Caenorhabditis elegans: one gene and its partner. The protein of the gene in region 1 interacts with the protein of each later gene in a pairwise test. Each region holds a gene or a part of one and is shown in the gene's direction. Other genes may lie near its edges.

Region 1 (4,468 bases):
GGCCAAGTCTACGTCAACACTTTCAGTTTTCGAGACGACTATTCGCTTTTTGGGAGGTCTTCTTTCGTTGTATGCTTTGACGCAGGAGTCATTTTATATGTAAGTTTCAGTTCTTGATTTTCAGTTCTTGGCCAATTCAGTTCTTGATTTAATTAATTTCAGTGAAAAAGCTAGGGAAGTTGGAGAAGCTTTACTTCCAGCTTTCAATACACCATCTGGAATTCCAAAAAGTAATTTGGATGTAGCATCAAAACATGCAAGTAACTATGGATGGGCTAATGGAGGACAATCAATTCTTTCCGAAATTGGAAGTCTTCATCTTGAATTCCTGTATCTCAGTAGAATTTCCAATGCTCCAATTTTTGAGAAGAAAGTGAAGAAAGTGAGAGATGCTCTTGAAAAAGCTGAAAAACCTAATGGACTCTACTCAAACTACATTAATCCGGATACAGGAAAATTCACAGGAAGTCATATGTCCCTTGGAGCACTTGGTGATTCATTTTATGAATATCTTATCAAGAGTTATGTTCAATCAAATTATACTGATACGCAAGCTAAGAATATGTATTGGGACGTCAGTGATGCTATTCAGAAACAGTGAGTTCTATTGTTCTATTTCTTTTTCCAACAATTTTCATATTTTCAGCATGATTAAAGTTTCCAAACAATCAAATCTTACATACACAGTTGAGTTGAACAATGGTCAAGCTCAACATAAAATGGGACATCTCGCTTGTTTTGTACCTGGAATGTTTGCTCTACAAGCCATCAACGAGGATACTGAAGAAGAGAAATTAAGAATTATGACATTGGCGGAAGAGTTGGCGAAAACCTGCCATGAAAGCTATATTCGTTCCGAGACCCACATTGGACCTGAAATGTTCTACTTCAATGAACGTGACGAAGCAACCAGTAAACACTCGGAAAATGGATATATTCAAAGACCAGAAGTCATTGAAGGATGGTTCTATTTATGGAGATTAACTGGAAAAACAATGTATAGAGATTGGGTATGGGATGCTGTTCAAGCTATTGAGAAGTACTGTAGAGTTGATAGTGGATTTACTGGTCTACAAAATGTTTATAATCCTAAAGCTGTAAGTATCTGAACTTGTGGGCTTTTCTGAATATTTCTGAATTTCAGGGCCGTGAGGACGTGATGCAATCCTTCTTCCTTGCCGAGTTTCTGAAGTATGCCTATTTGACGTTTGCAGACGAATCACTGATTTCACTCGATAAATGGGTATTTAATACCGAAGCTCACCCGGTTCCAGTCTTAACTAATTAGAATTTAATTTTTATTATCTTTTTTTTGAACAACTGTGATTTATGGTTTGATTGTATTTAGAACTCACGAGGTTTTTATTGAAACTTGTTTTTTATCTTCCGAACCAATTCCGCTGTTTTTTGGCTTTTCTTCCCCCCATTTGACCACGGGTTTACCGGTGTCTTGCTTTATAGGTCAACCGTTGTTTTTGTTTTTATAACTGGTTCATATTGATTCTAGCAATTAAGATAAATGTTTTTGACAACTTTTGGACTCATGAGAAAACCAGGAGGATATGTAGTCGCTACAAGTTACAATTTTTCCAGCTTTTTCATTTGATATTAAAGAATAAGTGTATGCTATTTCATATTCTATACTGTACAAAGAATGCTAGTATTCACTATAAAACATTTAGCGCAGGCTGGTTACAAGATTTTGCCAGCAGACGACAAATCTCCACAATGTGAAAAAGTTTTAGTAAACTTTTCAAGAGCGCCCCGAGGACATCTGAAATTCCTTTTCACTAAATTTATATACAAAAAATACATTTTTTCTTGCAGATGAATCATTTCTTTTGTTTCTCAACTTGACATACGAATATTTTTCATAAATTTCATTCTCCCGCGTGAAATGCTAACGCGCTCTATCAGACAGACGACACGCGACGCGTCCGGCGACACTGAAAAATCATCAATTTTCAAAAGAGATTCTCATTTCAAAGCTTTTTCCATATTCATTTCTTCTAAAAATATTTGTTCGTTTGCAGAAAATGCCAGATCACCTTGGAGATGACATGCGCAAAACTAAAAAAGATGATACCAAGGAGGAAGAGAAGAATTTCCAGGGTATGTGGATATCGTTCAGGAAACTAATTCTGAAAATTGAATTTAGCTCTCGACGAAGGAGACATTGCTGTTTTGAAAAGATACGGGCAAGGTCCATACGCGGAACAGCTCAAAACATTGGACGCGGATATTGAAAACTGTCTGAAGAAGGTATTTATTTCATCGTGCTCCTAATTTTATTTCATTGTTCTACAGGTGAACGAACTTTCTGGAGTGAAAGAATCAGACACCGGGTTGGCTCCACCAGCTCTATGGGATATTGCTGCTGATAAACAAGCAATGCAGCAAGAACAGCCTCTCCAAGTTGCCAGATGCACAAAAATTATCACCAGCGACAAGCACGATCCGCGTTACTTGATCAACGTAAAACAGTTCGCTAAGTTTGTTGTAGACCTTGCTGATTCCGTTGCACCTACTGATATTGAGGTTTGAAATTGTAATTAGATTTCACACATAATTGAAAAATGATTCAGGAGGGCATGAGAGTAGGAGTAGACCGTAACAAGTATCAAATTCATCTTCCGTTGCCCGCCAAAATTGATCCAACCGTCACAATGATGCAGGTTGAAGAAAAACCAGATGTAACATATTCGGATGTCGGAGGCTGCAAGGATCAAATTGAAAAGCTTCGAGAAGTTGTCGAGACTCCACTTCTTCATCCCGAGCGTTACGTTAATCTCGGAATCGAGCCACCAAAAGGAGTTTTGCTCTACGGTCCACCAGGAACAGGAAAGACGCTTTGCGCTCGTGCCGTTGCCAATCGAACAGATGCTTGCTTCATTCGTGTTATTGGATCAGAGTTGGTTCAGAAATATGTCGGAGAAGGAGCTCGAATGGTTCGTGAGTTGTTCGAAATGGCTCGTACCAAGAAGGCATGTCTTATCTTCTTTGATGAAATTGATGCTGTTGGAGGTGCTCGTTTTGATGATGGACAAGGAGGTGACAATGAAGTTCAACGTACTATGCTCGAGTTGATTAACCAACTTGACGGATTCGATCCACGTGGAAACATCAAGGTTTGTCTTTAATTCTTTATGGAAATAACCCAAAAAAATCTGTAATATAAATTTATTTATCTCTTGCTTTCTTGAAGGCAGTTTATATCATTAGTTCAGTCCTTTCATCCAAAAAAAAAGACACACATTTTTCGTTTGATAAGTTTCCAAAAAATTAATGCTTACATGTATTGTAAATATGAGTGTTTCATTAAAATAATTTGATATTTTCAGGTGCTTATGGCAACAAACAGACCGGACACTCTCGATCCCGCTCTCATGAGACCTGGTCGATTGGATCGTAAAGTCGAATTCGCTCTTCCAGACCTTGCAGGTCGTGCTCACATTCTCAAGATTCATGCAAAACAAATGAGCGTTGAAAGAGATATTCGTTATGATTTACTTGCTCGTCTGTGCCCAAACAGTACAGGAGCCGAAATTCGCTCAGTCTGCACCGAAGCTGGAATGTTTGCAATTCGTGCTAGAAGAAAGGTGGCAACTGAAAAAGATTTCCTTGAAGCTATCAATAAGGTTGTCAAGGGATATGCCAAATTCAGCGCCACTCCAAGATATCTGACACATAATTAATTGTACCCTATTCGGTTTTCATTCTCTTTCCGGTCCTCGATTAACTTATTTTCGCCCGTCCACCCATTTTTTTTTGTACAGATTCCCCATGTCTCCGATTTTTGTCTTATTTATTACATCCTATCGTCGTGAGATGCACCCAAGTTGGCCCAACACTGTCAGATGTATTCGTTTCGATTTTATGGATAAATGTGATTGGGTTTCTGACTATTAAAACTTGTATACACCAGTTTAAATGAATCTGAAAACGTGCCATAAAACCTTTTCATAAGAAGAGTAGTAATCTAAACGCGATTACGGTGTAATGCCAGAAAAAGTAAGAATAGAAGAAATTGGCAAGCGTATTTTAATGGTACTAATATTGTGCACACTTTACCTAGGAATATATTTTTCATCTCTACAATGTTGACTAGCGCCCTGAATGCTCCAAGGATACTGTTTTCCAACTAAATGTTCAACTGTTCAGTATTTATATTCTGCCTCCTAGAGGCGTTCAAAAATTGCGTATGCCACCCATGTTTCAGGGGACATCGCGGGCAATTGGGAAAAGTTTTCAACCAGCAATAAACGCACCTCGGCAAAGCCTCATTGGTCACGTTATCGCCCCAGCGCAAAGCTAAATTCAGCAGCTCACTCAGCTGATCCTATAAAACACAGCAACCGACAAATCGCGGCTTTCGCGCACAATGGTGCTTTCTGCATTCTGTATTCTTCGGAATGCGGCGCGTGTGCGTTGCGGTCGTCTTTTTCGAATTGCAATCGCTCGCGGTTTA
Region 2 (4,436 bases), on another chromosome or scaffold:
ACTTTTAAGTGAAAAAGATAATCCAGTATCTCTTTGGGTCGGAACCTGGAAGTCTGATATCAAGCGGTAAAAGAATTATTTTATTAAAAAAATAAACTTTCAGTTTTCAGCTGGTCCATCCGCCCATCAGCCCAACTTTCGATTGGAGGAGACGAAGATGGTCCTTCAACTTCAAATGCAAATCACTCAGTATCAGCTTCATCATCACCTCCAGTAACATTCAAGTATATCCGAGTGAAGGATCAAAAAGGACAACAGAGCACACCAGAGCTCGTTATTCCTGGTAAACAGACTATATGCAGATATAATTTTTAATCTGTTTATTCAGGCGCTCCTGCCATCAAGAAACATGCCATGTTGAGCGACAAACGACACGTTTTGACACGAGACTCGGATGGAAATGTGGCGCTATATGATGTTTTAGCAGCAAGAAAGGTTTGTCCCCATTATTAAAAGTTACTACTTGAATTTTGATAAAATTTCAGATAAAAGATTATGGAAAGCGAATATTTGAAGAAGTTGTCGATGAGAACTCTAGGCAAGTATACATTCCAAGCTGGTTTGTCGTTGATTCAAAAAGTGGAGTGAGTTTTAAGTTTTATAAATTTTTGAAAAATAAAACCCTATTCGATTTCAGATGCTCCAAATCACTTTGGACGAGCTGGACGCTCTCTCCTCGTGGCTTTCATCAAAAGACGCAGGTTTTGATGATAATGATCGAGAGACAAAACGTAAGATATTATACGAAAATAAAAACTTTCTCATTCCTTTGTAAGAAATTATAGTGAATTACGGTGGAATGATGCTACGATCACTCTTCGAACGATGGCCACCTTGTAAAATGACAAATGTTGATGCAGCTGATGCAGATGATGTGCAAAAAGCAACACTGAATTTTATTTCTCTACCGGAACACACACCGCTTATTATTTGGTAAAATTATTTGAAGGCTCAAATTTTAAACATTAAAAAAACTAATTTCAGCGAAGGAAATGGTCGTCCGCTCTACCGTCTTCTTGTTGGCGACGCTGGGAAGGAGTTCGAAGCAAATGAGCTGGCACAAATTGCACCCATGTGGGTTATAGACGCAATCGAACGAAATCAGCTGCCGAAATTCAATAAAATGCCATTTTATCTTCTTCCACATCCGTCGACAAATCCCAAACAGCCTAAAAAGTTTGTGAAAACGCGGGGTTCATTCATTAAAATTTTGAACTATTTTCAGAGATCGTCTGTCAGCAACTGAAATGCTTCAAGTTAAGAAAGTGATGGAGCATGTTTACGAAAAAATACTCAGCACTAATGATGGTAAGGTATTTAGAAATAAGAAGATATTAATGGTGTTTGAAGATATTACAGTTGGCTCGATTCCACTAAATCAAATTCATACAAAAATGGAAATGTACTGCAATGATCAGAGGTTGGAGCCGGATATGGATTTGCGAACAGTCAAGCATCTCTATTGGAAGCAAAGTGGAGAGCTTCTTCTACATTATAAACCAGTTAAATAGCTTTAACATTTAATTTAAGTTATTTATTTGAACATACTTATCTAACATTTGTACTTTATTGAAAATTCACTGTCTAACTTCTTTTTTGATACGGGTAAAACCGACTTTCAATTAAATTCCATGCTCTTTCCATATGTCTTTCTTTCTTTTTTAAAATTATGATGGTTTAACTACCAGCTTATCTTCATTTCTTGCTTAATATTTTTACCTCCTACCGTATTCGTTCCAGATGGCTAGTTTGGAAGAACATGAAAAACTGATCGAAGTAGGTTTTATTGAAATTTCTTCCAATTTTAAGCCAATTTTTTTCAGGAGTGGAGAAACGATTACATCGCAGAACGCAGTTCGAAAAAGGGATGGGAGATTCTGGAAAAACTTGCAAAGATGCAAATTGAAGCGGCTCAGCAAATGGAGTACGTTAAATGAATATCAGATAGTATCAAAATGAAATTATTTCAGAACAGAAGATGACGTGGCCGCTGCTGATTTTGATGACTTCAGCACCAGCAAGCTTGTAAAATTGATTATTGGAGATATTTCAACCAAAGATCTTCTTGTCGATCATCAGGTACCTGACATCAATTTTTAGACTATTCTAATCTAATAAAAAAAAATTCTAATAAAAATTGTAATATCTCAATCTTTTACAGATAATTCTTCTCGAATTCATTCCATCTGCACATCCGAATATTCTTCGCCATGTAGTCCGCACAGTCCGTGAGAAGGAAGGAGCGATTTCCCTTTTGAAGTCATCATCGGTTGCAATTGGAGTTGCATTTGCTCGAAGAGTTACAGATGCTGAAGCTGGAGAGGAAGTTGGACGTCTGATGGCACACCTCGTGGATCACGACTTGATTAATGAAGAGCTCAAATCGCAGCTGAGTGTTGCCAATGGAAGAGAAAGTTCATCCATTAGAAGTCGTATTTACTCCGTAATTATTTGAATTCTTAATTTGATAATTCATTGAAAAATTGTTCAGATTGCTACTGAACGAGCTCGCATTTCATCTAACACTTCATGCATTCATTGGCTCTACGACAAGATTCTTAAAAGTGTTCTAGATACTCAAGATGTTCTTGCTCAACTGGATGCTTTGGACACTTTCGTTGATATTGCACTTAGTGGAAAACAGAATGCAGAGGCTTTGTACGAATTGGGAATCGTCAAAAAGGTTTGAATTTGCAATAAATTTGTTTTTTTAATGTTATTCCTTTAGATTTATGAGTTGATGGAATGGTCGAAGGAGTCTCCAGATGGTGGGGAAATGTATTTATGTAAGTTACCAGTTCATTCAATTAATATTTAACAATATTTTTATCAACAGACGGAACACGTTTCATGTGTTATATGGCTCGTTCCTACCCACAAGTTCTTAAATATTTCCCTGATCTTGCACGGCGTCTCATGCTCGAAATCAGAATGTTCGATCAATTGAGTGTGGTCAGTCGTCTTGGAGCTTTCGATCATTTTGCCAGTATGTGCTTCTCTGTCGAGGCAAAAGAAACTTTGGAGGATATGTTCAAAGGTATTTTCCAAATTTTTCAAAAGCAAGATATTAAAAATCATATTGTTTCAGATTCAAAAGATCTTGAGAATACTTTGGGAGCTGCTGGTGCTGCATGTACGATGGGAACAATGGAATTGAAGTGTCGAACTCTTCAGGCCGTCACTCTCCTTTTCCAGAATAGTGAGCTTATTTAGTTATGTGGAATGTTTGAAAATTAATAATTTCAGCGACTGAAAAAATTGCTGAAACATGGTACGAGCGTCTCGGTGGAAAAGCATTGACACATGTAGCAGTTGGAAATGTTAAGAAGCCGTTCCCTGAGATGAAGAATTGTATTTATGATTTCTGGCAACAGTTGTTCACATATCCATCAGTTGTTCATCAGTTCATCACTTTCCAGGGGTATGTTAACGACATTTTTATGCGAGATTTTTTATTAAAATTGTTTTTTCTCAGATTCATTGACTGGGCATTGGACGATAAATCAGAAGATAATCCAGAATACGAAATTCGCAAACGTCAAATTATTCATCGAATCATTGAATTGTCGGAGAATACAAAGAGCGCCGAAGTACTCAAAGCTGATCCAGAACTGATTGGCCGTCTCAAGAAATATCTGCAACCGGCTGTTGCACCTGCTCCGCGTGTTGAGGAAATGGCTCTTTAGATTGATCTGTATATCCTGAATCTCTTTGACTATTCAATTTTTTGTTTCTTTTTCATCTCAATTATTCCAATACAGTATTTTATTGCCTCAAAAATGACTTGTTCGCCGTTAATTCATGTTCCGGTTTGAAGTTTTAATGAAATTTATTGATGTAATGTTTTTAATATAAGTCTTTACATATACTCTTGTGTTTGAAATCCCATTTACTTCAATCTTTAACGAGTTTTGAAAACTGAAATGATTGTTTCAAAGCTTCAGCGTCAAAAAATGAAATGCTAACAACGTGAAGGTTAAACGAATTTGCTATTTAAGTAAAACACACTATCGTGTTTCTCGCATTTTCGCCGCCAAGAAAATAAAAATTTCATTTCGAATTGATTTAAAACTCATTCAATTTTTGGTCTCGCCGCGATATAAAACGTTAAAATGTAAGTCAAAAATGTATATCTCTTGAGATCGCTTATTGAGTGGACTTATTTATGTTTGAAAGATAGTCTATCTAGATAGACTAACGTTACATTAATTGGACTTTCATGTTATTTGGACTATAATGGTGCGTCCAAAGTGCATAGAAAAACAATAATTTTCTCGTTACCGCTATTGATCAATTTAAAAAAAGAAGGCGTGGCCAACCCAACAATCCGCTGATTGGCTAGTCACGCCCACTAATTCCCATTTTCTTCACACTATCGACGCACCGCACAATTAGCTGCAAGTTTGATGATTGAAAATTCGGAAAATTTATATTTA

Evidence for each region.
Region 2: the proteins of rpt-1 (region 1) and F35G12.12 interact in a two-hybrid assay, tested with the Caenorhabditis elegans proteins (5 studies listed by BioGRID).

What each region holds. Positions count from the first base shown.
Region 1 is NC_003283.11:11,979,963-11,984,430, reverse strand, and holds rpt-1 (26S proteasome regulatory subunit 7), read left to right. Parts: upstream 1-2,033; 5' UTR 2,034-2,036; coding exon 2,037-2,112; intron 2,113-2,158; coding exon 2,159-2,262; intron 2,263-2,307; coding exon 2,308-2,538; intron 2,539-2,585; coding exon 2,586-3,128; intron 3,129-3,341; coding exon 3,342-3,695; 3' UTR 3,696-3,897; downstream 3,898-4,468. Other genes in the region: Mannosyl-oligosaccharide 1,2-alpha-mannosidase mans-2, read left to right, coding at 1-99, 163-597, 647-1,097, 1,145-1,288. UniProt on the Caenorhabditis elegans protein: The 26S proteasome is involved in the ATP-dependent degradation of ubiquitinated proteins. The regulatory (or ATPase) complex confers ATP dependency and substrate specificity to the 26S complex.
Region 2 is NC_003281.10:4,580,055-4,584,490, forward strand, and holds F35G12.12 (26S proteasome non-ATPase regulatory subunit 5), read left to right. Parts: upstream 1-1,740; coding exon 1,741-1,776; intron 1,777-1,823; coding exon 1,824-1,924; intron 1,925-1,970; coding exon 1,971-2,079; intron 2,080-2,161; coding exon 2,162-2,443; intron 2,444-2,491; coding exon 2,492-2,683; intron 2,684-2,728; coding exon 2,729-2,786; intron 2,787-2,836; coding exon 2,837-3,037; intron 3,038-3,088; coding exon 3,089-3,199; intron 3,200-3,246; coding exon 3,247-3,421; intron 3,422-3,475; coding exon 3,476-3,686; 3' UTR 3,687-3,839; downstream 3,840-4,436. Other genes in the region: wdr-48 (WD repeat-containing protein 48 homolog), read left to right, coding at 1-66, 111-283, 329-435, 486-584, 638-731, 786-933, 985-1,176, 1,226-1,511.